Linked DNA regions of Rhinolophus ferrumequinum. The main gene of each other region encodes a partner of the protein of the gene in region 3 in a complex. Links are inferred from orthologs where the notes say so. Each region holds a gene or a part of one and is shown on either strand. Other genes may lie near its edges.

Region 1 (9,708 bases), on a different chromosome or scaffold from region 3:
AACCCAAGTGGAGGTGTATGCAGACCTCAGCAGTACCATATGATACACAATCTCCATGTCATAAATTCCACAAAGCCCACACCAAGGTAAAACCTTGCGAAGGCTACAGAACTAACTTAGTGTGACTCAGGAACCCCCAATCCAACTCTAAAGCATAGAACTCCAAGTACATGCAGTCTCAGTGTCACAGAATCCCAAGGATATGCAACCGCAGGGAAACACAACCCCAGTAATCACAACCTCGTTAATACAGACTCGCAGATAGACAAAATGGTGACATACAATCCTTATGCCACACAAGTCTATCCATCCCTTCATGCATGAACTCACTAGCTGAGTTCATGTTGGTCCAGTTCCACATCAGGACTTTTACTTTCTGGACACTCACCCAGTCATCTTAAGATCCCATTAAATTAAGTAAAAGGGCTGTGCCTTTTTCCTGCTCTGCTACAAGCTTCCTCCTTTTGTCCCTGTGAGGGGCTTTGCCCCTCACATCCACCTGCTTGAGGCCCCCTCCTCTTACCTCAGTGTGAAGCCCTGCCCCCTCCTCTACCATTGTGAGGGACAAGAACGCCGCCTTTCCTTTCCTCTCGAGGATTCTTGTCTCCTCCACCTGCTCTGTAAGGGATCCTATTCCCAGCTCCATTTCTGGCAGGGGTTTTGCCCTTTAAATCCTCTCCTTTGAGACATCCTGCTCCATCTGTGAGGGGCCCTTTCCCTCCCCACCTTTGTAAGGCTCCTATCCCACTTCGCTCACTTTTTGAGGGGTCAAGCCCCTTCTTCCATTTCTCATACCTGGCGACAGCGACCCAGTCACCAGCTGGTAGAGGGATCGCGCTGCCTGCCCCAATGGGCTCCGGCACCTGCGGGGGCAATGGTTCATGGTTCCGCCGAGAGCACAGTGGCCAAGCTCCGCCCCCAAGGCCCGGGGTGGTCGGGTCTCCGCCCCAACCCGAGTGGGCCCTGCGTGGGCGGCGCGGGAGGGCCGGACCGGCAGGACCAGGATCTCAGACAGCAGTCTCGTTCCGTTCCCTGCCTTCTCCTGGCCGCACGAGCGGGACACACCCTGGCCCCATCATCTGAAGCACCCGCCCCCAAAGTTCCTAGACTGGGGCGAGGGATGGGCGGGGGCAGCGCGGACTCTCCTTACAGCCTTTTTTTGGAACATTTTCAGGATTTTTGGTGAGGAAAGGGGGCACTCACAGGTTTTGAGAAAGGAGGTGGAGGGGAAATGAATTTTTATCTTTCACTGCCCTTCTTCAGCCCCTCCTTCTCTGCCTTTCACACCCTTCCTCCTCCCATTTTGGTAGAAATGAGAAGGGGTAAGAGGCCACAGTTGTCATGGAAACTTCCCACACTTCCATACTTCCGGGACCAATGGGAGAGGGAGCAGAAAGGAGGAGGAGGAACTGGCCAGTGTATATGAGTGACAAAGAAGAGGCGGCAGGGATGTGTCCCTACTGGTCTCGGTCTCCTGCACCGAATCCCTTTTTCTCATAGCTGATTCTGTTCTGTGTCCCTCTGTCCTGCTCCAGTGCATTTACAGACTCTCCCATCATATGCTGATTGCCAGCCAAATGCGTCACGAAGCTCCCCTCCCTTCATTCCCGGCCCTGACCCCTTTCCCGGACTCATCCCTATCTCGTTACACGCAAAGTAAACCCCTTCCAAGACCCACTAACGCCTCCAGACTGCTGGGTTAACCTACAGCAGGTACATCCCAGTCCTCCGAATGGGATCCCGTATTTTTGGCTTAAAATCCTACATCTACGAGGCTTCTGGAGAATCACCTCTGAACTCCATGCAAATCTTGCCACTTGATTTGGAGACATCCCCATTCAGAATCAACTCTGCAGGCATGGCTCTTCTAAGACCACACGGGGGCGCCCCAGTCCGGGGAGCAATATTTATGGCCAGAGGAACGCGACTCCAAGATCCCAGGCCCAGGGATCCGAGCTCAGGCGTTGGCCAGCCAGGTCCCAACTGTCTCATCTTCTCCAGTCCTTTCTTTGCTTCCAGCTTGGACAGAAACACCGCTGATCCGCTGTCCTTTCCCACCCCGCGCGCTGCCAAGCTGCTCTGCAGGGCTGGGAAGACCAGAGGGGTTAGATGCAGGGCGGGGTGGCTCACGGACTTTTTTCCCCTTTAAAAGTCTTCCCCATCTTTGTTTTGAGCCTGGCATGGGAGTGGGTAAGGAAAGCGGTCGGAAGAACCCAGGATGCCCTGAGGTATGACTTTAGGGCCCCCTCCCTAACAGCCTGATGGGCTGGGACTATGGGAGCCAAAGACTATCCCCCATATCCAATCCCAGGAATCCCACCTGCACACAGAAGGAACCTTGGGATCTCCGTGGCTGGGCTGCACCTCCTCCCGGAGCGCTCTTCAGCACCGCGGACAACGACTCCCCTTCAGGCTTCTGCTCAGGTCGTCTCCAAGAACCCTGAGCACCCTGAGCTTTAACATAGGGGGCGTCCCAACCCCATTTGTCTCCTGCTATAAAAGATAAGCCCTCCTTGGAAAGGAGAGCTCCTGGTAGTCCTATTTCTTCTTTCCAAATCGTGTGTAGAGCTATCTACAGAGAGGAGGCTCATGATGTGGAAAACGATCCTTGACGCTTGTCAATATTTGACCTTTCTATTTCCCTTGGGAGGCAGGCAGGAAGTAGTATTCCCCCATTATACAGATGAGAAAAGTGAGGCCCAGAGAGAGCAAAAGTCATACATAACTGGTACTCACACTTCCATTCCTGCACCTTCCAATACAAGTGCTTCCCTCCTTCACCTAATTAATCTCTGATTCAAATAGCCAAGTGGATAGGGGATGAGTCCAGTAAAGGAGAGAATCAAAGCAGGAAGTAAACACTGAGTAATGTGGTGCTGAGGAGGGCCCTGGGGCTCTTACAACTGTCAAGGATCCTGAGATGATGAGAACAGAGTTCAAAGCAGAGCTAGACAGTTGGACCATTAAAGTCCATCCAAGTTTGAGACACATTTGGGGTCTGCCTGGGTGGAAAGGCTCCCCCTTCTGAGAGTCTTGGCTTTGGAACTAGGACCACACCAGGGTCAGTGAGTGCGGGAGACACTTTCTAAACGCATTAAATCCTAGTCTTCTCCCCCATCCCTAAGTCTTAACCTCACTCCGCTCAGGACAGACAAGGATCATATCCTCCCTCCACCTCCCTACTTGTTTCAGACACAGGTGAGACGGTCTTCCTCCTCCCATTCTCTATTGGAGTTCTTGGGCAGGCTGTACAATGAGAGACAGAAACACACACGAACATGGAAATGTGCACATGGTGTCACCCACACAAAAACATGGATCTGCCTACCAACCCAGGAATGTGCACAGGCACAGATGTACTAGTCTCACATACCTCCCCAATGTGGGGGAGAGAGAGAGGATGCCTGGGCAGCAAAGTGGTTTGGGGGGGTCACTTATAAAGGGAGGCCATATGGCACCTCCCAGGCCTAGAGTTTCTATCTCTGGGTCTGGAGGGGGGGCCAGAGGGTGTGCTTTCCTCCAGGTTTGGGTGAAGTTTGGGAGGGTTGTTGGGGGGTTGAAAGAGCTTCAGTTGTAAGAATGATCTCTGAGTACTTTATAGGGGGGCTGACCCAGCACTAACCAAAACCTCCTCACTGTCCAGGTGCTGCTCCTGGGGACCAGGCTGGGCAGCTGGACCCTAGAGTCCCTCATTGGGTCCACCTGGGCTATTTGTAGAATACATGGGGGAAGCAGTGGTATGCACTACAGACCCCCTTCTGCACCAGGAAGCCAGAGAAGTAGCTAGGGTAAGACATACCACAGACACTTACAGAGCCTCACTGAAGACTCCACTACGTGAAAGTACACAATCAGCATCAAATGTCAACATAATCCGCACAGTCTCACAATCACAAAACATAACACAACCCACCTTGCCCCAGGAGGTTCACAAAGTCTTACAAAGAGACAGGTCATCATAAAGTGAAGCCCTAACACGTTCTGGAAGTCACATGCCACTTCACACAGAATCACACTCAAAGTCGAGTTGCACATAGAACAGAAACACATAGTCAAAACAACTTCATTAGTACAATCAGGGTGCTACACAACCTCACTCAAACATCTGACAAGATCATGCAATTGCACAGCCACATATAATCACACTCACCCTGGCTGTCACCAAGCCCAGGGCACATGGCAACCAGCTGTGGGAGGCACACACACATATACACACAGACACACACAAAGAATGACAGGCGCTCACGCACGTACCACCTCCCACTCCAGACACCCTCCTAGCATGGTGTCACACCCGCCCACACCTGCTGCCTCTCTCCACCTGCCCACCTGCTCTTCCCACCTCCTGCCACCACCACCACCCCTAACCCGTGGGACCCAAGCTTTGAACTCCAGTGTCCTGGGGCCCAGAACAGCCGGGAGGGTGCTTGGAAATGGGGCAGAGTGTGGGTAAGGGCTTGGCCAGGGTCAGAGGCTTAAGGGTCTGGGGGGATGTAATCTACCCTCCCTCCCGCGACCCCCAATTCACCCACTCACCGGTGAGTTGGTCATAGGATCCGTCCAGGTCTCGGGAATCGGACAAACTCTCCTTGCGACCCTGGCCCCGCATGGCCCCCGGCGCCCCACTCCCGTCCCTACTGGGCGGTGGGAGGGGGCGCCGGGTGGCCAGGATAGGGCGCTCACACGGCGCCCCCTGGCGGCGTAGCGTGCTGCAGGGGCTGCGGGCCGGAACAGTCCCGGCTGGGGCTGAGATTCTGCGGACCTGGTCGGGGTCTAAGGCCCACCCGGGGGTCGTGGGGCAGGAGCAGGAGCGAGGCTTGGGCAGTAGGTGAGAGCAGAGCCGGAGACAGAACCGAGCTGAGCGCAGAGCCGGAGCAGAGCCGCCTCTCTCCTCCCGCCCCCTCCCCGCGGCTGTCACCGCCGCCTCCCCCCTTTGGCGCTGCCGGGATTGGCTCCCCCTACCCCCGCCCCCTCCTCTTTGCAGCTCGGGGGAGGCACCCGGTGAAAGGGTAAGCTGGAAAGAGCAGTGAGGGAGAATGGCTCTTCAGCAACACTACCCCCTAAACCTGAAGCCATGGGTCTTTGGGGTACAGGATAGCAGGGTCAGAAAGGCCCCACAGTGAGGAAACCCCGCCCTCAATTCAAAGGCACTCGGGGTATGTGTCCGAGTCCCCCGTTCGTCAGTCTCCACGTTAGCCCCTATATTCTCCTGTTCTCCCGTTTATGGGTCTCTGTGGCTCCGGCCAGTGCTCACCCTGCGTGGAGGGGCTGGAGATGCAGAGGAAAGGACGACCAGGCCTCCAACAAGGCTCATCTCAAGCCGGTGGACTACTTTTCTCTTACCTCAGAAGGACCCCAACCCTCACTCACTCCAGGACCCTGGCTCTGGGCCCCATTCACTTTGAGCACCTTCTTCCCTGATCTAATGACCCCCATGGGCCAACTGGGAAGAAAAGAGTGAAACAGATCAGTTTCTCAAGACTTTGTGTGTTTTCCCAACTTTCCTGCCCTTCTCTCTCTCGTCACATGCTCAGTCCTAGATTCCTTCTGTTTAAGTAAGATTTGGGGAGCGACTAAGGGTGAGGATCCAAAGTGGGGAATACATGTTCTTGTTATGAGCCCCATTCCCTTAGATGAGCTCCTTTTCTGAAGTCAGAGGCTTGCATAAAGCTGACTACCTCTGGCTCCCGGGAATGGCTATTGACTGACTGAGCCTGTTTGTCCGACCTTCCCCAGGAGGCTGCCTGGGATCCTAGGCAAGGGCCCCCCACCCACCACCATGAGGACGGAGGGGAGGGAAGTGTCTGGGGGGTCTGGATAGTAAGGTGGCAGTATCCCAAGTAATCCCTACCCGCCCAATGGCTCCTCTGGAGGAGTAACCTGTGGTGACTGAAAGCTTCAGCTAAAGTAACCCCAATACATTTAATCTCTTTAATTGGATTTAATTTCCAAGCGCTTGATTCAATTAACCCAGGAGGAATTATAGTGGGAGTTCAGGCATGAGAGAGGGACAAGCAGCCAAAGGACACTATCTTTGGGAGCAATGCCCTGCTCCTGGCTCTCCCCTGGCACTGAAAGATCTTCCAGACTTGGGAAAGACATTGGGGCATGGACAGAGCATAGAAGCTCCTTCTGGGGTTGAACTCTAGAAGAGAATGGGACTCATTTGGAGTTCTTAGGATAAGGTGTATGTAAATGGGTCAGAGATAGGTGGGCCCTACCATGGAGGGCAAGACATCCTTTGCTTATTGCCTCATGCCCTAGACCTGCCCTTATTCACTTCATCGGAAAGATTGGCAGGAATCCGTAAGCACCCCAAATAGGCTGGCTGGCCTCTTCAACACCAAGTTTGGTGATTAGGGAATTCTCTTCTCCCTCCTTCCACTGAGAATGCAAGGGAGGCTACACCTTCCTGAACCGAACTGATTTTCTGTGCCCAGAAGACTCAGGATGAGAGTCTATAAGGATAGGCAGGGGTCCCCTAGCCAGATGGGACCAGCACCTGGAAGATGACCTTAACTCTGTCTTTGAGAAATGAGTACTGGGTAACGGAGATTAAAAAAAAAAGACACTAAAAAGACTGTCCCATACAAATCAATTTTTAATAATTTCAACTTGCCACCAGCTTCCAGCTCCAGTTCCTCTAGGGTTTATCATTGTGGAAAACACTAAATGCCCCAAGCTGAACTATCCAGCCAGTGATCAGAAGGACCCAGCCTCTGATCTCTATAAGAATCTTTACATGGCAGCATGTTGGTAGATTCTCTGGTAATAGTGCATATCTGCTCAATGTTGCAGCCAGAACTCTGGTTCCCAGGGAGGGCAAGCATCCCAAAGAGATTTGAAGTTGAAGAGGAATAGCAGCTGGGGAGGTCCCAGACTTGCTTTCACTGCTGGATTCCTGCACTTCCAGATTCTTCCTGTGCTGTTTGTTCCCTGCCATCCTGCGGGCTTTAGAAAGTACTTTAGAAAGGGAGGATCTCAGAGCAGCAGCTACTTCAGGGGCAGCTGTGGGGTAAGGAAAGCCTACAGCGGTCCCAGGGAGGCTGTCCAGAGGAGGATTCACAGGCCAACTTCCCAAATGTCAGGAGCCTTGCCTGTGGCTCCGCCCAGAATACCAGTAGCCTCTCCATGATGCTCACCTGGCCTCTTGCAGATGGAGGATAGCTGCCCCCAGTAGGTTCTCTCCCTCCCAGGCACCAAACCACAGCAGGAACAGATTCTTCCCCAGAGGAAATTCTCAGGCAGGCTGGATGTAAACAACAGCAGGGTGAGGGGGTGGAACACGGGGAGGGAGGAGAGGCTTCCAGAGCACTGGGTGGCTAGGGAGGTGGGGAAGCTGCTGGAAAGAGGACCAGCAAAGTAGGCACCTGAGGGCTCCAGAAAAACCTGTCAATGTTTATTTCACACACACACCCTAAAGACAGTTGAAACCAGATTGAAAATGAAAAGCTGAGGTTGTGACCCTATAGTGCTGATGAGTCAATGGGTTGGAAGGCAGGGGAAAGCTAACAGGTACTCCTGGTAGCAAGAATCAAATCCAGAAGGTGGTGGCCAGGCAGCAGAGAACTGGGTGGATTCTAATCTCCAGTCTCCCAGGGGAATCAGCTCTGGATTTAGAAAACAGAAATAAGGGACCCCATTCCTACCCTATCCTACGCCTGAGCTAAGGGTCCTAAGAATTGGACAGAGTGCCAGCGGAGGCAGGGGATACAAATGTCAAGCCCAGCTTAGCCCCAGGCCTAAAGGAAGCAGAATTGGTTCCACGTCCATCCGGAAGTTAGTCTGTTTTCAGAAGCCTAGGAGAGCCACTGACCCTCAGGGGGCTGGCAGCACCCTAATGCTTGCCCTAACAGATCCTGAAAATTAGACATTAGTCACCACTTGTAATCTCAATTGGAAATATGAGGGGGTGTCCAGGGAGCCCACCCTGGAAGTCCCCACGTTCTTAAAGGCTTCTCCCTGTGCCCACCCACCCCTCCCCCAATAAGATTATCCCTGGCTTGTCCCTCCTGGCCCCTGCTGTCCAAGCTCCACTGAAGTGCGGCCTTCACCGAGAGAACTCAGTATCTGTGTTGTTCTGCAACCTTGGGGACAGCCCCCTGTCCCGTCCCCTCACTCCCCCTCCAGCCCAGAAGCCTCATGGGTAAGGGCAGTCAGTGGCTGCTCAGGTACGCGTGGCCTCAGGAGATAGTGGAGAACTCCTTGAGCAGGACTTCCTGGCTGAGTGTGTGGAAGGCCAGGTTTCTCCGGACGTTGGTGCTAATGGATCGAACCTGGGAAAGGGTGAGGGAAAAGTAGGAGGGCACAGGCAGAGAGAAAGGAGAGTCAGTTACAAACAGTAGAGGGCAGTGCCTGAGGCACAAGGCCAAAATGCAGTGTTAGAAGTTTCTCTCTTAGGAAATCAACCCTTAACAGCTATCCTCCCTGCAGGCAAGTGAGCAAACAGTTCCGTGATTGTGAGAAGAAGAGAGGTTGAGAGACAAACTGTAGTGAATACAAGATGAGCATGTGAGCATCGGCAGAGGCAGAAGCAAGCACAGACAGGGAAGGAGGGCGTCTGCCTTGCCTCGGCCATGCAGCCAGGTGAAGGGACTGGTCAGTGGTCTAATGGAGCAGGAGAAACCGATACTAGCAGACTCACGCTCTGGAGCTACCTCCCTTTGGATGTGTTTCTGGTCTCCTCACTCCCCCTTTGTACTGATCTACTTTTTGGGGTTGGAAAGAACATGTAGAGATGCAGCCCTTGTCTGGCATAGATGGCAGGCAAACAACCCAAGAAGGCCAATGACCAGGATCAGGTCACACAGCTGGTGAGTCCCAGGCTTGGGGCAGGACCCAGGTTTCTTAACTTCTAGTCTGGCGCTCTTTCCATACCACAAAGATGCCTCCCCACTTTCGAAGCAAGTCTGGGGTATACCCGTGCTGTGTCCCCCACCCCCGCTCATCTAACATGCTTTCTACCCGTAGATGGAGAACCTTGCAGGAAGCGGTGCCTGTCAGCGGGGAAAAGACCTGTGGAGAAGGGCCAGAGGGCCAACCTCCCCACTCTAAGTGCTTTCTAAGAGCGATCCAGCAAACTCTGGAAGGAGATTCGTTCATGGGAAATAGATGTGAACGTTGTATGACAGACAAACTGGGGGGTGAGGGGAAGGGAGAAAAAGAATGTTTGTGCTGGGCCCCAAAGTTCAGGGAGGTTTCCTTCGATTTCTGTTTTGCTGTGGGAAGCTTAATGAAGTGGCCAGGCTGGAAGCAGAGGAAAGGGCAGCATGGCGAACAGCAGGCAGCTCAAGCTCATTAGCTCCAAACCCAACCAGACCCTCTTTGCTCCCTGCGCCAGAGGTACAGATATAAGGAGAAGTGAGTAAGCCAGAGGCTAGTGCCAAGGAGCCTGAGAAAGAGCTCCTCTCTCCTGCACCGCCCTCTTCATCTCCCAGTAACTTACTCTCTTTGTTAACTCTTGGCTGCCGGTAGTTCTCCCACATCAACTTCAAGACTTGCTAACCACCCCCTAAAAATACTCTGCTATCTCCTTACACTAATGGCTTCCCTTTTGCCAATGAAGTCACCCCAGAGCATGTCTTCTGTACCCCGGGGAAATCCAAAATCCCAGCAATGTCATGTCAGGGTCAGAGACGGGCTGTGTTTAGCACAAGACAGATGAGCTAAACTCCAGCGTCTTTATCATGGACTCGGCACGGGGCAGTA
Region 2 (9,660 bases), on a different chromosome or scaffold from region 3:
CTGTGTCCCCAGGCTCCTGAGGGTTGATGAGCTGAATTGCACAGCCATGCAAAGCAACAATGACCAACTGCTAAGTACGGGGCGTGGGACCCAGCCTTGCCTCCTACTGCCCTGAGGAACAACAGGATGGGCTCAAGGGCTCTACAGCCCACCCCAGGGTCTCTCAGTCTCCTGTCTGTCAGAATCGCCCAGGCCCCTTCCCTGCAGCTGCCAGCACCCAACCTCAGCGGCAGATGCTGCTCTGTAGGAAATGCCAAAGAGTTGCCATTCTACTGGTAAGTCCCCCCCGCCCCACACACTGCTGGCTCCCCAACCCCCACCACCCCTCAAGCACCGCCCTGTGGCCCACCCTCCAGGGAAGTGCTGAGAGGCTCCGAGGGAGTCACTCAACTGTGCAGAGGAGGCAGAGAACAGAAAGGCCAGATAAAGGGAAGGACTCTGGAATCTGAGCTCCTTCACCCGTCCCCCCCAACCCCCTTTTGCTTCCGCTGGAAAAAAGAAAATTGCCAACTAATTGCTCCTTGACAACCCCTGCTGGTCCTCAGTCATTTCTTTCTTGCTGAGATTATAATTAGGGAATCAGTAAATTTAAATAGGAAATCCATGAGCAGCACAGAGCCTTCATTTTTCAAACGCTGTTTCGTGCACCCTGCCAGTGGCACTTGTGGGCAGTGGTGTCAGGTCCCAAGTGCAGTGGGGATGGGGCTGTGGAGAGCATGGCCGCTGGTCCGCTGGTCTCTGCAAAGGTGCAGGAGCGAAGGCCACAGCCTGGATAAGCATGTGCCGTTCTCCAGGCTGGGCCAAGGACTTTCTAAGCCTTATGTTACTACATCCACCCTTGGAGGCAGCACTAGTTTTACTGCCATTTTACAGCTAAGGAAACAAAGGCTCAGAGAGACACTGGCTTATGCAAGGTCACACAGTAAATGACAGGAAAAGGACTTGAAGCCCCACGTGTCTGATGCATGTCATCCTGCACTTTGACTGTTTCCAACCGAGTGGGGACCTATGTCCCAGACCTGAGAAAATTCCAGGTGGTGGTCCCTCTTCTTCCCCCACCAAAGTCTGGAGACAATCACAGCCTGGCCTGGGCCTGCCTTCTCTCTTGTGCCCCCTGGGTCTACAGGTCAAGGTGAGGCTCCTGGTGGGGCTGAGAGGGAGGAAGAGAATTCTGCCCGTCCTGTGAGCTGTGCTTTCTCTCTGGACCAATAATGCTGCCTCCCTGTGGGTCCTCGCAGCAGCCTGTCTGGGCGGGAGGACCCAGAGTGTCACCCCATCTCCATTTCAGAGATGAGAAATCAGAAGCCTCAGAGAAATACAATGACTTTGCCCAAGATGCCTTAGCCAGCTACTGGCAGATAGATTTGGGACTCAGGTGCTCTCTACCTCCCTGCCAGGGCGAGCTGCTTCTCCAGGGCTCTGTCACTCTGCACGGCTGGGCTCCACCTGCAGACAGCTGGCCTGTCCAAACAGAAAACCAAAACATTGGCAGGCGGGGGAAGGACAAGAGCTCACGTCTCTTGCTCACCTGTCTCTTGCTCACCTGTGAGGTACCACTGGCTGCTAATAGAAGAGAGCTTTGGAGCCACCTGTCAGCAGTGACTTTCAGCTTTGCCTTTCTAAGCGTCACCTAAAAGAAAATTGTGGGTGTTTGTGGTAGAGATGGTATGAGGATGAACTGGGACAATGAAGCTAAAACACGGGCCCAGGGCAGTGCCCAATGTGTGTCAGTTATGGGCAGAAAGCATTGCTTGTTTCCCTGTTTAGTACTATACTAATATCATCAATGGTTCTTCTAATCCTGTGAGATTTCAGTATCTCCATTGTCCAGATGGGAAAACCGAGGCTCTGAGAGATTAGAAAGCTAGGTTCAGACCGACATCTCATAAGCAGGAGATCCAGGCTTCCAACCAGGAGCTGTATAATCTCAGGCCCACACTCACCCCCCTCACGTGCCATCTCCAGCATGGGGCAGCAGTAGGACAGAGATATCCAGGGGACGGGGGACATGTGACACCCCAGACAGATCAACCTATGCCCTGGCCACCAGGACAAGCTTCAGTGTCGGGGCTACTGTACTTCTTAGTGACCCTGCACTGTGGCAAAATGCAGAAGGGACAAGACGTCTGCACATCAAGAACAAAGATCATGACCTTGCTGCTTAGTTGGCCCTAGTTCTTAGGGAACAATCCCCCGTTGCCAGTCACCTGCTGTGGGGGCTCTTTTATTTAAGCGTAAATGAGGAAACATTTCTCAAAAATTGTGATGTATAATGAAGAAATAGTAACTGTCATGCGGGGCGGCCTGCGGGGTCTCAGCTCCCGCTCCCCACATAAAAACACAGGACAGGGTGAGGCCAAAAAGGAACACCCACGGAGCCATAGGTAGGGGAGTCATCCTGCTATATTCTCGCTGGCGGCACTATAGTCTCACTGGAGGCTGGATCCACACTGTCCGCAACCCGCTATCCTAACTGCAATCCGCGCTTGCAGGCTCAGCCACCATCTTCTTTCTAGCCCCCCTTTGCTGCTAGCGTAGCCACAGCAGTTATATTAGTGGCCAATGGCTCACTGGTTACAGCTGACGGCCAACCAGCCACAGCTGATGGCCATTTACTACCTGAGCCAGCACCTTTCCACGCGAGGCCGAGAGCTTGGAAACTGCCCTCCTGGCTCTGTCCCCACAGTGACCCTTTCTTATCCCTTCAAATCTTATGATTTTGAAAAATATGCAAGACGTGTCGCATTTCTTTCCTTACCGTTTCGATGTTTGGTCTGTCTCCTCTCTCATGTCTCTGTCTGTCTCTCTCTATGTGTGTCTTGTTCTGTCCCCCTTTCCCTCTGTGCTTCTGTCTCTGTTTCTTGGCTTGTGAATGTCTGAGTACATTAATCCCTGAAGTCAGGAGGACATTAGACTTCCTCCTTTTCTACCCTCCCCTCCCCAAGCCCGTCTCCTCGGAGCTCCGTGGCCAGCCTCCGGGGCCCAGCACCAGCTCAGCACCTCCGTGAGGGCAGCACTCTTATGCATCACTGTAATTTTCCCCTGGCTTCAGAAACTCACAGCGACGCCTCATGTTCCTAAATCTAAATAAACATCTTCCTCAGCTGGGAAAGGCAGGATCATAAATTGGTTGTGTTTTCACAAAGCAAACTTTTTTGGCCAGAAAGAGCTGTACTCTTCATCTCCTGCCTGGAAGGAGGACAGAGAGGAAAGGAGACAGAGGGCTGGGAGAATGGGCGGAAAAGGGAAGGAACAAGCAGAAAGCAGGAGAGAGGGCAATGCGCGGGGAGGAGGGAACACAGAAAAGCCCAAGAGAGTCACACTCTTCTCTCTCAGACCGTAGGCAAATAGTTTACAATTAGGATTTCCATTTCACTGACAGATAAACTGAGGCTGCAGGAAAGTCAATGGCAATATTAGGAGAAGGCAGTTTTCTTTGCAATGAACAACAGTGCATCGAGGGCAGGGAGAGAGAGGCTTCAGACTCCCGAAACCCCAGGAGCTGAAAACCACATCCCGCATTACTTTTCTTCCCACGGACAGAACTGACCTGCTCTGCTGACTTAGCTCAGTGTGCATTTGGGCTTCTGCAGATTTCCAGAGAAACAGCACATTTCCTAGGGAGTGAACACCATCACTGGAGCCTCGTTCTTTCGAGTTTTGAACACCTGGAGCCTGCTTTGCTGAAAGGGGAGAAGCTGTACCATGTTGCAGGAATCTTAGCAGGAAACAGTGGTGTTGATCACGTGTTCAGGAGAGCCTCAGACCCTTTTCCCAGCCTCCCTATGTAAGGGATGGCGGGGCGGGGGAAGCCCGGTGAAGGAGGCTCCAGTCCCGAGCCCACTGCCTGCGTCTCCTGCCGATGGTCCTCAAAGTCCTAACACCTGGGCCAGCAGCTAATCAGGCTTTCAGCTTTGCCTCGCCTGGAGAAAAGCCACATTATCTGTAAAGAGCATTTCCTGCAGCACTGGCCCTGGAGGCGGGAAGGGGAGAAGAGCATCGCTGCTCTGCCCTCTGCCGGGCAGAGCACAATTAAATCTCAGTTAACCCAAGGGCCCAGGGGCAGCATAGCAGGTTTCCTGGGCTTCAGGTTATCTGATTGGAAGCACTGGTTAGCACCACACCTTGGGAGTAGAGGAATCTTTCTGACATGTGGCCAGTAGCACACAGGCCGTCCTGGACTCCTGGCACTGGGCTTGGGGGAGCCAAGGAGCAGGATTCTGGACTCAAAATGGGCCCAACACGTGCCCAACCCTGGAGACAGGCTGTAAACATTTTCTTCTCTGATTAACCCTCGCTAAGACGATCTGTTTGTCATGTTCTCTTTTCTCCTAAAACTCAAGACGTAGGTGTCTGCCTCATCTCTGGGGTCAGTGAAGTGTCTTCTGTTTAATGAATGAGCCGGTTTGGCTGGCCAGTGCCATTTTGTGCCAACCTGTTGTCTGGGACTAACGTCCACCATCCCACCCTGGGTGTCAGTGTTGGATGGAAGCCCTCTGTATCCTGAGATAGTCCCGGGCCCCATGGCGTGTTAGACAGGCCCCTCTGGTCACCAGAATGGCCCTGTGGCAGCCTCCATATGCCCTGGGTTGGAAGGGCCGCAGGCAGAGCTGGCCCCAGGGCGGTGCTCATACTAGTCAGAGCCCTGCTACTTTCAGAGCCCACTGGCTCTGCTTGGTTTGTCTCTCTCCTTTCTATGCTTTCAAGGGTGGCAGGCAGCCTGCAGGTGGATTGCAAGGACAAGGAAGCATCATTTACACTTGAGAGAGTAAAGAGAACAGAAGATGTGGATGCCAGCCTTCCTGGAGACTCCTCGGCCCATCCCCCAAGGAGCCTGGGGAATGGCCCCCCAGCAGGACCTTCCCTCTCCTCCCACCATGACACTCTATGGAGGGAGGGCTCCTGCCCCACTTCTTTGCTTAGTCCGACCTGACCTGAGGGAAAAGGACAATATTGTGGGGAACAACAGATCTCCCCACTTTCCCTCTGGACCGAGGAAGGGGGAGAGGGCTAGGCAGAGGGTGGAGGCAGGCAGGGCTGGGAACATGCCCTGGAATTCTCCTTTATTTTTTCCCCAAAGGCAGCAGCTCCTGGAGGAAAGTTTGCAAGCACCAGTAACCAGCTGTGGTGTCAAATATTAATGGCCTCAGTTTCCCTTCCAATCCCACCCCTTTGAGTAAACACGCACCTACCCATCCCCCCATCCCCACCCATGGTGTGACCTCGGGCAGACTCCTCCCAGGAATCCACACAATTCTTATTGGTCCTCTTTTCCCACACTCCCCGCCACGGTACTGAAGTGGGAATTCCCCTGGGGATCAGGCCGGCATGTCCTTCTCAGTCCCAAGAGCAGAGGGAGGTCTTATGCCCTGAACAAAAGGGAATTGCCTGTGACTCATACCAAACCCTGCTGGTTGAGAAATCTACTTCCTGGGCTTGGGGGTTGGGGAAGTGGGGTGGAACTGGGGCCAAGGCATATGTGTGTATTGCTCACATGTGTGTATGTGTGTGTGTGCATGTGTGGGTACATGTGTGTTCAACAGTTGGCTTCCTAGTAAAACAACAACTTTCTGAGCTGAGCTTTCCCAGGACCAGAACTTTCAGAAAATCTGCTCCTAAACCATCAATCTCTCTTTCTGGATGGTCTAGTGAGACCCAAAGTCTGTTTGGGCATTTTTTAAAGGAGAAGGAAAAAAAAAGAACTAAATGAGATCAGAAAATAATTCAGCTACATGAAGTTGAGTTATCTGCTCCCACTAGCTGTCCCGAAATGCAAAGGTATTTTGTCAGGCACATTCAAAGACGCCTTGGGAGGCCTCGTCTACAGCCCCAAGTTTGAGTTCGCAGCTCCCTCATCCTCCTGGGTTTCTAAAGCCTCAGGGAGAGGCCACAGCACCTGTTACTCTGCTGCTTGTTTTCAGATGCAGTTCTGTGGGTGGTTATAATCGGGATTGTCAGGCTGGATCTTAAGGGAACTAGAAGTGAATCAGTTTCGATTTTTGTTTTGCATTTTTTTGTTGTTGCTATCATTTTTCCCAAATGGGAAATAGAAACCGGACATAAACAAAATGGGGAACTGAGACTCACCACATGATTTTTGCCCTTTTTTCACTTTGATAGAACAGGAGTGGAGAACAAAGGCACTTTCTCATGATACAACTTAACTTTCAGGCAACAAGGTCATTGTTTAAAGCAAGCAAAGGAAGGCAAAGGTTTGTCGTAACCTATTATCTCACCAACCTGTCTTATTTAATTTTCCCCCAAAACTCAATGACATAGGTCCTTGTGTCCCTATGTCATGGTGGGGAAACTGAGGCTGAGAGGGGAAATGACTTGTCCAAGGTCATACATGTAGAGATAAGTGCTAGAGAAAGGATCCAAAATCTGATCTATTGCCAAGCTTCTGTTTTCCATGTTCTCACACTGTCCGTCCCCACCCTCTTGCTCTCACCCCAACCCTTTGTCTCTTCACCCAGGGTCCCTGAGGGATTGTGAGAATCCTGGAGCAGGAGGTAAGGGCTAGCTCTGGACAGTTTCCAGGCAAGGCTGTTCTCTGTCCCTCTGCCCTGATTCTGAGATGCAGACTGGGGCCAGGGTGGCCACCTTGGTTTGTAAACAGCAACGTACCTGGAGCTCAGGACAAAAGTTGTCTTACCTGACACCAGGTTGTCTCACTTGAAACCAGGTGGTCAGAGGAGAGGACCAGTCAAGGTGGTGCTGAGGGCTCAATGCAAAGACATTCCAAAGACAAACTAATTCAAAACAATGCACACACCTGGTGTTTATTTATTCACTCACCCGTTCACTCACTAGACAATTCCTTATGCCTCTCACGTACAATGAAATCCAGACTTCTTTCCGTGGCCTGCGATACCTGCATATTCCCATCCCTGTGGACCTCTTCAGCCTCACCTCCCACCCCACTCCAGCTTTCTCTGATCTTTGCAAAGCTCATTCCCACATCAGGAGTTTCTGCCCCTTTTTGTTTGGCTGTTCCTTTCTTACTATTTGGGTCTCATCACAAATGCCACCTTCTCGTAAGGTGACCTGACAATTTCTTCTAAAGTGGCACCCTTTGTGACATCACTCTGGTTAATTTACTTTACAGTATGTCTCACTCATCTGTCTTGCTCGTTCGCTTCTTTTATTTGCATTGTCTATGCTCCACACTAGAAAATAGTGTTAGTGACAGCAAGGCCCTCACTTGTCTGGTTCTTCTCTGTATCTGCAGAGCCTGGAAAAATGGCTGGCACACTGAGGACATTCAGAAATATTCATAGGATGGATGAGTGGGTAGATGGATGAATGGCTAGATGAATGGGTGGAGGGATAGAGAGGGATGGATGGATGGATGGATGGGTGAATGGATGGATGGGTGGATGAATAGATGCATGGATAGATGGTTTCTTCTATGTACCAGGTCCAAGTGGAGATGTAGAAGTGAATAAAATACTGTTTCTTTGCTCAAAGAATTCACTGTGAAGTAAGGGAGATCTTCTCATAGTCAGGTAGCTATGACTTGGTAGAGTACAAGGTTTAGAAGAAAGAAGCACATTTGGGGTAGAAAGGAGGAAGGGATCCATTTTTGCTGCTGGATGATAATCTGGAAATATGCTTAAGGAGATGACATTTTGAGCCACGAATGATAAACGGAGAGAGTCAGATGATCAGTGAAGTTCAGAGCCTTCCCTGGGGCCCAGGAAAATGCAAAGGGGCTGAACACAGCCTTACCTAGTCTGGAAACTGTAAGCTGTTTGCTGTGGTGGAGACATGGGAAAGGAAAGTTCTTGTGGTGTCTGCTGCTGCAGCGCCAGTGTTTTGCATCTAGTTACTCTACCATTGGTACTCAGTATTACTCAGTAATACCCAAGAATAGGTACTCAAGAATTATTTGTTGAGGAAAGGAATAAAAGGAGAGAAGTAAGCCTGGCAAGGCTGACCAGAGAGTCAGGTAAAGCGAAGCTAAAGAGGTTAGATTTAGCTGGAGGACAGTGGGAAGTCATAGAAGATTTGATGAGTTGTGTGTTTCTGCTGCAGCACAGGAAATGTGTTGGGGAAAGTCCAGGCTGAAGCATGAAGTGCTGGCGGGGGGACGATGGCAGTAGTTCAGGTGAGAGGAGTTGAGGGTCTGAACCACATGAAGATGGCTGATAAGAGGGGGTGAAAGAGACACCAGAGATCTGAGGAAGAGGGAGTCGACAGAATGGCATCCTGGATTCTTTGTGGATGAGGTATGGAAGGAGGGAGTGAAAGGAGAGGAAGGCGCCCAGGTCTCCAGCTCGAGTGACTAGATGCTAGTACTGAAATACACCATGTGTGGATGGGGATGGAGGTTCTCCACGACACTAAGTTTGCGTGTCAGGACTCCTCACTTTTATTGGCCACTTTCAAGAGCCTGAAACTGATTTTGTATTCACGCTTTCACTCTTCTTAAAGACTCCCTTTCTGCCCAATTATACAAACTTCAGGCCCCACCAATCCTGGATTCTCTTCTGAATATAGAAGGGGATCAATCTTCGGGAAAAGATTATAAGTTCCAATTGGGATCTGTTGAGTTTGAGGTGGATGAAGAACCTCCAGGTGGAGATGTTCCACAAGGAGCATAGTGTGGTGGTTAGAGTGTGGGTCAGGGTTCGAATCCTGGCTTCGAGCAGTGTGAACTTGGGCATGTTGTTTGACATCTCTGTGCTCCATAAAATGAGCATGGATAATAATAATAGTACCACCTTCTTAGGGTTGTTGTAAAGATTAGATGAGACAATGTATATAAAGTGCTTCAACAGTGCTCAGTGCATAATAGGTCCTCAAAATAAGTTACACGTCAGCTCTTGGTATTATGTGGGGGAGTGCAGATCTGGGAGTCATCAGTGATGAAGGCCTTGGGAGGAGTTGGATCATGAGGAAGCATGTGTTAGTGCATGATAAGAAGGTCAAGGACAGAGCTTTGACGTTGATTATGGTGACCAGAGGAAGGGGAGCTACCAATGAGGCTGACGAGGATCAGACAAATGGGTGGAGAGTGGGGGAGCAGAGTGGGTCCTGGAAGCCAGAAGAGGGGAGACTGTCAGCAGGCACTTGGTCATGAGTGTCACCTGCTGCTGAAAGTCAAGGCCACTGGTGTGGGTGGGCCTTGGGGAAGTCACCGATGAGCTTGTCAAAGGGCGTTAGGCATAGTTGGGCACTGAGAAGTGATTGAGGGTGCAGATGGCAAGTGTGGAATGTCCTTGGGAGAACTCTGGCCACGGGAAAAAGAGGAGCACAGAGGAACTGTGTGGTGGTTGGTTTGGTTTGCTTTTGGTTCATTGTTGAAAGATGAAATTCCCAGGCTTTGGGGGCTGTGAAGAAGAGTTGGTGAAGAAGATCTGGGAAAGCAAGGAAGTAATTGATGGAAAAATATGAATGTCTGAGAAAATTAAGAAGGGGAGAATGAAGGACAGAGTGAGGAGTCAGCCCTGAATAGCTCTCTGAGTCGGGAAGGAAGGGGCGAGGGTGGGAAGGTTATAAATAAGGCTGTAGGTGCGAGGACAGGAAGTGGGGGCGTTATGCCTGACGGCCTCAGTTTTCTTCTGTGCAGTAGGATAATAGGTCATCTGTGGAAATATGTAAATATGGCTTCTCTCCCACTGTGGGGCATTTAGGAGAAATTATGATTAAGAAACT
Region 3 (9,607 bases):
CCAGTAGATCTTCAAAAAATGAGTGCAACTAAATCAATATCATAAGTTATTGTATTTTACTGTACCATCTTTTCTTACTTAACTTAGCCAAAAATTCTTCACATATAAAATATTCCATTAGTTGGCCATATGACAACAGGAAAAAAATCTGTTCGACACAAGATGTCTAATAAAATTAGGTTGACTTTAAACACACTGTCATTTAAAGAAGGCAATTAAATTAGTCAGAAACACAAAACTTAAAAAGCAGCCTTGGGAATAACTTTTTTCTTCTAGCCATTACCAAATCCCTACTGAACTGATTAACTATGCAAGCAAAGCAGCATAACGCTGAAGAAAGGGCACTATGCCTACTTGGCTTATCTCAGAACTCATAAAAGTAAAAGGCTCTAACCACCACCTTATTGTAGTAGATTCTCTAATATGTAAATGCGGCTACTTTTCTGTAGTTTGATTAACATTATTCATCATTTCATATCTTTCCTTTTTTCTACAATCTAAAAAGAAATCTTAATTCTAGTTTAAAATTTATTTTAAAAAACATTAATTCGAAATATGCCCCTTTGCTGGCAAAACACCATTACCCCCAAATAAAACAATGCACACAAGAATGCTAGAAGGAAATCAGATTGCACAGTATTCTATAATGCAACCAGTTCTTGGTGACCATCAATCTCACCAGATACCGCTCTACATTCTTTGTGTATTTAATGGTCCTGGGCCTATTGCCTGATGGGATCTGTAGTTTCTAAAAAAAATGTGTGGATGATAGTCATTTGCTTCTTTTTATTTGAAACTAAGAAACTAAAGTCTTGAATATGTTTCAAATATCATTCCATTGCATTTTGTAGAGTTGATCAGTTTCAGCCCTGATATTCTAAAAACCGAATTACTTAACAGCCATAATGAAAATGCATATATATACATATATATATGAATATGCACATATATATTACAAAATCCCTTGATAATGATATCTATAATCTATACTTTAAAATTTAAAATAAGAACTATGGTTCTTAAAGGAAAAATGTATGCCAAAAGTATCTATTCATATGAAAATAATACTTCAAATATACATGGAAACTTTCATTTGAATATACTGAAGCACTCTCTAGGCATTTCAATACATATTGTGCATATTCATAACTTTATTGGGGCACACATTTTGTGTCTTTCAATGTCATTATATTTTTATGTATTCACACATATAATATGGATGATCTTTCCCTATATTCAGGAATTTTAAAATTTCTTTGTTATATGTGTCACTTTCAGGCATCAATACTCAACATTTGCCAGCAACTCCCTGGGTACATCAATCTCAATATCATACCCATTTAGTAGATCCAAAGGTTCTTCCAAACCATAATGCTTTCCTAAACCCATTTAGGAAAGGGAAAAATATACATATTTCCTCTGATTTATTTTATAACTTTAAGGGATCCAGTCACCTCACCAGGTATCCAACCTCCATCCCATTTCCCTTGATGGCACCTACCCTAGTGTTGTCATGGTGACGATGGTGTACCAGAAGGCAGCAGGGATGCTGGTGAACTTGCTGGCGGAAGACCCCTTCTCTGCGTAGAACATAACTGTAGCGAAAATGATGATAGCCATGGTAAGCGAAAAGAGCAAGAAGCCCAATTCTGAGGCACAACTCTTCAGTGTGTACCCCAGGATGCGCAGGCCTTGGGAGTGGCGGGAAAACTTAAAGATCCGGAAGACCCGGAAGACCCGGAGGGTGACAAAGGCTCCGCTGACGTCCTCATTGTCTGTCATCACTAGCCCAATGTAATAAGGCAGGATGGCCACCACATCGATGATGCTCATGACACTCCGCACAAATCGGTAACGACTTGGCGCTGCAGCCAGGCGAAGCAAGTACTCAACTGTGAAGATCATGACGCAGGCTGTGTCCAAGCAAAAGAAGGCCACTGCATACCGCTCCCCGCAGGGCAGTTCTTTAATGTGACCTGGGCTAGACCCACATGGCACGGTTTCGACCACATTAGCGATGACCGAGACGGCAATGAAGAACCCTGTGACGTAGTAGAAGACCAGGGCCATGGTGCTGGTGTGGGGGTTCTCAAAGGCCCGCCAGACCTTCTGCCGAGCGGTCATGGTCGGCAGCGCACTCTCTCCGGTGTTGTCGGGGTCAGCATCGTCCTGGAGACGCTCCGCGTTCTCTCGCCTCCGATCCTTGTACTCCTCATAACAGCAGTCACCAATGATTTCTGGGATGAGGCCGAAGAAGGCCAGTTCTTCATCGTAAGCAGAGATGCACTCATGGCGAGGATAGTGGAGCTTCCCAGTGCGGTAGAAATTCAGGATATGGCGGAAGATGTCTGGGTCACGGTCAAAAAAGTATTGCTGAGTCTCAGGATGGTAGAAAAAGTCCCTCTCAGAACTGCCCAGCAGAGTGTCTGGATATCGTTCCAGGGTGTCCTGCCATGTTTGGAAACGGGTGCCACTCACATTCAGCACAATTAGAGCATCTTGAGTCCTTTTCCTCTCCTGCCTTGGGGGAGCTGGCATGGGCCCCGAGGCCACAGGCATCCACCCGATGGCCGCTGCCCTTGCAAAGGGCAGCCATGCTGCTACACCCGCCGCCATGGTTCCTTGAGGTGGAGGCCGGAAAGGCAATCAGGCCTCCTAGTGGGTCAAAGTAGCCCCAATCACCCACTTGCTCTCGTCAAACAAATATTACAGAGAACTGTGGTCCGCGATATCACCTTTATTCCAAGGTAGAGCTCCTAGAGAAATCACAGTTCTCAGAAGGGTAAGTTTCCCTCAAAGACAGGTATTTCATACAATGTTCTGACAATCACGCCCAACAAAACCTAACTAAACCTTGTCAAGCAGTCACACCAGGCCTGTCTTGGAACAAATAAGTGTACAGGTGACTTTAGATGCAGCAATTTCTTCAAACAGGTGTCTCTGATTCCTCTCCTGACACAGTCTGTTTAACGTGGGGTCAGTATGCGTCGTTTAAGGTAGAGAAAACGAAGGGCAGCCACTTAGTGGTATTCTTTTGACGAATCAGGGCACCCTTCCACCTTCCCTTTTAGCTCTTTCAAACCTTCCCTGTCCAAGGAGACCTTCCCGCCAAAGGAGTCTCAAAAAGGCGACCTGTTGTAGCTTCCCAGGTGCGGTCACAGCCGCTGCCCCACGTTTCTTTGGGAATCTGATCGCTGCCTCTACCCCTTGGGCCGTATTTGCAGAGATGGAGGTGCTGTGCGGTGGGCACGGTGGGGTGCGTTAATAAAGATCCTCCTCCCCCTCGTCTACAAGCACCCCTAGCGTCTGCTAAAAGCGTTCGCCCAATCGCCCCTTCACTCTCTTTTCAAGTTCAGCTCAGGTGCAGTGTGACAGTTACGGAGCCCGGGAGCTGGCAGCCGCCGCCGCCGCGGCGGCAGCAGCATCTGCCTCCGCGAAGAACGCGCCTCGCCCGCGGTACATACCTGGCAAAGTGCGCGCCGGGGCTGAGTTGCATAGAGACTTTCTCCTCGCGGTGCACCCGGAAAGGGAAAAGCAGAGAGAGCAGCTCGCGAGCAGCCGAATCCGAGGCGCTGAGGAAGCATAAATAAAGCTCAGGCTAGCTCTTCTTCCCCTTCCCCCATCCCTCCGTGCTTCCCTCCTCCTTTTCACCTTCCAAAAGCCAGGCGCAGGCGAGCCGAGCAGCAGCAACAAGTTCAAAAGGTGCGGGGGAGGCGAGAACAGAGGGAACGCTCTCCTGCCAACTTACTGCACCGCGGCTGTCGCTGGGGCCCGAGCGGCGCGGTGCGGGGCTGCGGGGTTGCGGGGCTGCGGGGCTGCTGGGCGGGCGGCGGCGGCGCGGCGGGGCCGGGGCTGGCGCGGGCAATCGCCGGAGCGCTGAGGCGGGAGGCGCTCAGCAGCGCGGGGGTGCGGGGGGGCGTCTCGCTTCTTCCCCGCCAGTGGGTGGTCCTGCATGTCCCCGGGCTCTCCGCGCCGCTCTGCTCGTGCGATCGATAAACAAGGAGAAAATAAATAACCGCGCGCACGCCCCGCCACGCAGGTTCTGAAAGGCGTCTCCCACCTTTCCCTCGGCTTGACCTTTCTCCTCCCCCGCCCCCTCGGGCTGCTCTCGCTCCACCCCAGCCACCCACCAGCCCCGGCGCAAAATGTCACCGAGGGAGAGCATCCAGGTGGATCTGCCGGGGAGGAGAGCGAGCCTAGATGAACAAAGGGAAGCTGCACGCGCTCGGCTGCGGAGGCTTGGGGAGGAGAGGAGGACGGGGACCGGTGCCTTGCTTCTGCCTCCCTGGGTCCCGGTTCAAGGCGAGCGTGGGAAAAGGTGAAAGAGAAGCTGAGAAAGAGGGTGAGCGGAGCGGAACGCGCAGGAATTGGTTGTCTTCTGGGGACTACCGGGTAGCAAGCTCTGCAAAGCCTCGCGGCGGAATTTTTAAGTGCTTTTCCTCTTTCTCTTTCTTTTTATTTGTTCAAACCAGATGTTAACGTTGCAGGGGTAAATACGTCATCTATCCAACTTGCCGAAAAGTCAGGCAGTCTCCTCGGTCTAGGTCTTACCACAACTCCTTTTCCCGTCCTTTGCGAATGACAGTAAGGATTTAGAACCTTTTTCTAAATGTCAGCGTCCAGGGGCTTGAGTCTGTGTGTGCGTCCCCTCCATTCTCTCTGCGCATCTGCGCGCAGATCTAAAACGGTTCAAGTAGTTAAAGGTGTCCTGGTGAGGGGTAAGTGATGTGATGTGGTGAGAAACTAGGAAATTGTCGCGGCCAACCGTTTTGTTTCTCGTGTACCCCGCCCCCCCGTCATTAGGACTCTTCCTTAAAACCAAACAGATACCATTTATAACCACTAGATGGCGTGAACGGCGAGAAGTTAAATCTATCCCTAAGGTTTGGATGCTTTAGAAAGGTGAAGGATCAAAATGAACTGAGCCAAGAGGATCAGATCACAAAATCATGCTCGTATCCCCCACTCCCTGCCCATCTTGTTAGTATTTATATGAGATACACTACTCAGGCTTGAGTCTGCATTTTGATGTTTATGGGATGAGATGTGCAGTTTCCTGTTGAAATGCCTTTGAAAATTAAATTTAGATAAATTTGGAATAATAGTACTAGTAAAGGCCTTTTGAAATAGTGAAGCTTCATGTACGTTGATTAAGAAGAGAAGTCTAATTTCTACCTGAAAATTACCTTTTCAAGACTTGGTTTGGCTGTTTTGGGTTGGAAATTAAGTGGACCATGATGTACATAGTCTTGAATTGATTTGACTTTCAAGCCCTAGAGATCAGAGGGGTGATGTGTTAACCTTCAAAATATCATATAGAGTACCTCAAAGAAAATATATGAACTAAAAATAGATTATGTTGAAAACCAACGGAGAAAAACAAACCTTATAATGTACAAGATTTTTCTGTAGAGATAGAAAGGTATTTTTTGTTGACTTGCCTAGTGGCGTAGAAGTTTAAGAAATCCCATAGTAGAAGTTAATGGAACTAATGCATCATGTAAGTTTGGAAACAGACCTGAAGACTCCTGCTGTTTATCTGTTTGTATTAGTTGAGGTGAAAGGTGCTTATTAAGGAATCGACATAGCCTGCCTACCTGAAAAAGAAGAACTATGTTAACTGGTAAATAAAAAGGAGGGGACTACTTAAAAAGGAGGGGACAATTACTGTAAGAAAATCAACCCCTCCTAGCCCAGTCTATAAGGTTCCACCATAACAGATGTATCCAGAGAGTGGGGAACCATGATTATTCATTTGGTGCCATACTGGCTGGCCATTCTGTAGAGGAGGGGCAAGCAACCAAAATAGAGCCTTTAAATCTTCCCTGTAGGAAACTGAACAATTACAAATATAAATGTTGAACTCTGCAAAAACCCCTAAATAAGCAAGGATATAAAATCTGTTTTAAGTTTTTACGATCTGCTCTCCCCCATTCTCTCCAAACTTCTTGATGTACTGGAAAGAATGTGGGTTTAGAAGTTTAACTCATCTAAATTCAAATTCCAGCCCAAGAAATTACTCATAGGCTTTGCTTCATTTGGCAAATTACTTAACTTCTGTTTAGAAACTGTAGATAATAAAACTTAACTTTTTAGGCCTATCATGAGGATTAAACAGGCTAATACTTCTCAACAATGTAGAACTTGGCACACTCTAAGGATACTCAATATCAATTCCTTTTTACTTTAATGAATACTGGAAATGCAAATCCTTTCATCCAGCCTGTATCTGGAATTCCCACAGATATTTTTGTATGTTTTTTCTTGCCTCTGAGTTAAAAAATTCCCTTGTCGTGATACTCTGGTGACTCTGCTGTTTTAATTCATTCATGCACTGAAAGCTATATGAAGAGTATATGTACAGAATCTAGCAGAACACGTTATATGCTTCCCTTTCCCAGGGATTCCTGTTCGTCCTTCTGGAATTCTCATTTTATATATTCTGCTTGGTTGATGGAAAGTAAACTCAGCAAGATCAAAATTGAATTCAGTCATCCCTCTTCTCCAAACGTCTAGTCCTGTTTTCTCTCCTGATGAACAAAGCCTCAGGGAGAAACCGGTGGTCATCACAGACCAGGTCCTGTTCTTCACTCCTTCCCCCCAACAAACACACACTCAGCCAATGACCCAGTGAGTCTTGCGTATTCCACCCTCTTCACCAATCTGTCCTTATACTGTACCTAAAGTGATTTTTTCAACTATTTTGAGGTAATGATAGATTCACACGCTGTTATGAGAAATAATAGAGACCCCTTAATCCTGGCACCACGTGTTCCCAAAGGTAACGTCTAGCATATTACAGTAACATATCACAACCAGGAAATTGACTTGGACACCAAATCCACCAGTCTATTCAGATGTCACCAGTTTTACATACACTAACTTTTGTGTGTTATACTTAGTTCTGTCATTTGATTACACGTGTAGATTTGTTTGAGCACTGTCACAGAAAGCACGAGAAGATTTCCACTACAGGAATCACCTTTTATTAGCCTTGCTGTCTCCCTCCCTCCCCTTCTCTATCCCTTGTCAACCACTAATCTGATCTCTATAATTTATCAATTCAAGAATGTTACATAAAAGGAATAATGTAACATTTCAAGATTGTCTTATTTTACTCAGTAGAATTACATTGAGATCCATCCAAGTTGTTGCATGTATCCATGGTTCTTTCTTTTTATCGCTGACGAGTACCACACTTTGATTAATCATTCACCTACTGAAGGACATTGGGTTGGTTTCAGTTTGGGGCTATTATGAATAAAGCTGCTATAAACATCCATATACAGGTTATTGTACTAATATAAGTTTTCATTTCTTTGGGATAAATACCCAATAGTGCAATTGATGGATTGTCTGATAAGTATGTTTAGTTTTATGAGAAGCTGCCATCATATTTTCCAGAGTAGCTATCCCATTTTGTATCTCACCAGTAAAATACCTGGTTTCTCAGCATCGTCATCAACGTGGCAGTATCACTATTTTTCATTTTAGCCATTCTGATAGTATATAGTAATATCTCACTGTGATTTTTATTCTCATTTCTCTAATGGCTAATTTCGTTGAGCGTATTTTTATATGCGTATTTGCCATCTGTATATTCTTCAGCAAAATATATGTTCTGTTTTTTGCCCATTTTTATTAAAATGGTTTTTATACTGTTGACTTTCGAGAGCTCTTTGTATGTTCTACATAATTGACCTTTGTCAGATACGTTGTTTGCAAATATTTTTCCTATTTTCCTAGCTTGTCTTTTCACCCTCCTCACAGGATTTTCTGCAAATCAAAACATTTTAATTCTGATAAGTTCCAACTTATCGTTTTTTTTACCTTTATGGGTTATGCTTTTGGTATCAACTCGAAGAACTCTGCCTAGCTCCATGTCCCAAAGAGTGTCTCTATTTTTTCTAAAGATTTTATAATTTTACATTTTAAATTCAAGTCCATGATTTATTTTGAGTTAATTTTTGTGTAAGGTATTAAGGTTTAGGTTAAAGTATTTTTTTTGTATTTTTTTTTTTTTTTTTTTTTTTGCCTATGGCTGTCCAGTTGCTTCAGCACCATTTGTTGAAAAGCCTATTGATCCCATGTTAAATTGCTTTTGCAACTTTGTCAAAAATCAGTTGGGTACATTTTCTGTTATCTATTTTTAGATTCTCTATTTCGTTCCATTGATTTGTGTTTATCGCCTCACTAAAACCACACTTTCTTGATTACTAGACCACCTGTACGGTAACACTTAACATCAAGTAAAATTATTCCTTCCACTTAATTACTCTTTTTCAAAATTGATTTAGCTTTCATAGGTCCTTGCCTTTTTATATAAATTTTAAAATAAATAAATAAATAAATAAATAAATAAATAAATAAATAAATAAACACACACACACACACGCACACAATTGTATAACCTTGCTAGGATTTTAATAGGCATTGCATTACATCTAAAATCAATGTGGACATGTTTACTAGGTTGAGTCAATCCATGAGCACAGGATGTCTCTCTATGTATTTAGCTCTTTTCTATTTTTCTTTCATCAGCATTTTGAAATTTTCAGGATATAGATCCTGTACATGTTTTATTAGACTTATACTAAGTATTTCATTTTCTTTAGAGAAATTGTGAAAAGCAGTGTGTGTGCTTTTTAATTTTGGTTTCCATATGTTCATTGTTAGAGTATAGAAATGCAATTGGTTTTTGTGTATTGCTCTTATATTGGCAATTTTTTTGAACCTTTTTATTAGTTATTGGGTTTTCTATGTAAACAATCAGGTCACCTGAAGATAGGGTCAGTTTTTTTTCTTTTTTTGCCATATCTATGCCTTTTATTTAGAGTGTGGTTTTTGGTTTGGTTTGGTTTTTTTGTTTGTTTGTTTTAATGCACCTGTAATCATGTCACTACCCCTTTCAAAAGTCTTCCATCTTTTTCGGTTCTTAGCAGAGAATATAGAAACCTTCAGGATCTCAATTCCCTCTACCCTTTAGCCTCATCTCATGCTATCTTAACATTAGCTTACTTCACAGTATTGCTCAGTTATTTTCAGTTTGCAGAATTTGGTGTGTTTTATCTTGATTCTGGATCATGGTTCATGCATCTTTTTTCTCATATTAGGTACTCAGCTTGAGTCATATCTTCCAGGAACCATCACCTATCCTCTTCAAATGATGTTAAGTGTTCCATAAGAGACTAGAACTTAGATGAGATTTTTGTTTCTCCCTCTTCTTAGCCACTAGACTGTAACGTCTTTGAAGGCAAGCAGTGGTCTTTTATTTCTGTAACCTCAATATCTGCCATTGCACTTGGCACGTAGTGGAAATACAGTGAATGTTTGTTGAATGACTGAGTGAACACTGTAATTAGATAGCTAATATGCATCTTTTTTTCCCCTTGTAGATTATTATTATAACTCTCCAAAAGACTTAGAGAATCAACCTGATTTACTAGCAAGATGTGCAATGGAAAGCCAATTACCTTAACAACGAGACAAATGATCCACGTTTTGAATAGCTGTGTACGAAGTGCTTTCTCAATGTACTTATAGTACACTGGACAATGTACTTACATTACTTACACTGTACTTACAGTTGATTTTCAGAATGACCTTG

The links.
Region 1: the proteins of KCND2 (region 3) and KCNIP2 are in contact, whole or in part, in a cryo-EM structure (PDB 7UKH), measured with the Homo sapiens proteins. The link is inferred for Rhinolophus ferrumequinum from reciprocal best matches to the Homo sapiens genes KCND2 and KCNIP2. Residues at the interface, in NP_036413.1 of Homo sapiens: Val5, Ala7, Trp8, Leu9, Pro10, Phe11, Ala12, Arg13, Ala14, Ala15, Ile17, Gly18, Trp19, Met20, Pro21, Val22, Ala23, Ser24, Gly25, Pro26, Met27, Pro28, Ala29, Pro30, Trp55, Asp57, Arg61, Arg100; in NP_775283.1 of Homo sapiens: Arg112, Gly113, Phe114, Asn116, Glu117, Cys118, Val123, Phe128, Ile131, Tyr132, Gln134, Phe135, Phe136, Tyr144, Leu148, Phe152, Phe165, Leu169, Ile172, Leu173, Arg180, Trp183, Ala184, Leu187, Tyr188, Met201, Met205, Ile208, Met211, His228.
Region 2: the proteins of KCND2 (region 3) and KCNIP1 are in contact, whole or in part, in a cryo-EM structure (PDB 7E8E), measured with the Homo sapiens proteins. The link is inferred for Rhinolophus ferrumequinum from reciprocal best matches to the Homo sapiens genes KCND2 and KCNIP1. Residues at the interface, in NP_036413.1 of Homo sapiens: Ala2, Val5, Ala7, Trp8, Pro10, Phe11, Ala12, Arg13, Ala14, Ala15, Ala16, Ile17, Gly18, Trp19, Met20, Pro21, Val22, Ala23, Ser24, Gly25, Met27, Ala29, Pro30, Gln33, Arg35, Lys36, Arg37, Thr38, Gln39, Asp40; in NP_001030009.1 of Homo sapiens: Thr60, Arg62, Glu63, Val66, Leu67, Arg69, Gly70, Phe71, Asn73, Glu74, Phe85, Ile88, Tyr89, Gln91, Phe92, Tyr101, Leu105, Phe109, Phe122, Leu126, Leu129, Leu130, Lys137, Thr141, Leu144, Tyr145, Val162, Ile165, His185, Phe189.

What each region holds. Positions count from the first base shown.
Region 1 is NC_046299.1:23,020,758-23,030,465, reverse strand, and holds the start of KCNIP2 (Kv channel-interacting protein 2), read right to left. Parts: upstream 4,888-9,708; 5' UTR 4,703-4,887; exon of another isoform or gene 4,621-4,702; 5' UTR 4,610-4,620; coding exon 4,537-4,609; intron 3,142-4,536; exon of another isoform or gene 2,321-3,141; intron 2,088-2,320; coding exon 1,791-2,087; intron 1,757-1,790; exon of another isoform or gene 884-1,756; coding exon of another isoform or gene 796-883; intron 1-795. Other genes in the region: ARMH3 (armadillo-like helical domain-containing protein 3), read right to left, coding at 8,184-8,276. UniProt on the Homo sapiens protein: Regulatory subunit of Kv4/D (Shal)-type voltage-gated rapidly inactivating A-type potassium channels. Modulates channel density, inactivation kinetics and rate of recovery from inactivation in a calcium-dependent and isoform-specific manner.
Region 2 is NC_046307.1:36,987,705-36,997,364, reverse strand, and holds the start of KCNIP1 (Kv channel-interacting protein 1), read right to left. Parts: upstream 3,814-9,660; 5' UTR 3,551-3,813; intron 1-3,550. UniProt on the Homo sapiens protein: Regulatory subunit of Kv4/D (Shal)-type voltage-gated rapidly inactivating A-type potassium channels. Regulates channel density, inactivation kinetics and rate of recovery from inactivation in a calcium-dependent and isoform-specific manner.
Region 3 is NC_046309.1:23,540,731-23,550,337, forward strand, and holds the start of KCND2 (potassium voltage-gated channel subfamily D member 2), read right to left. Parts: upstream 4,725-9,607; 5' UTR 4,552-4,724; intron 3,814-4,551; exon of another isoform or gene 3,652-3,813; intron 3,573-3,651; 5' UTR 2,617-3,572; coding exon 1,502-2,616; intron 1-1,501. UniProt on the Homo sapiens protein: Voltage-gated potassium channel that mediates transmembrane potassium transport in excitable membranes, primarily in the brain. Mediates the major part of the dendritic A-type current I(SA) in brain neurons.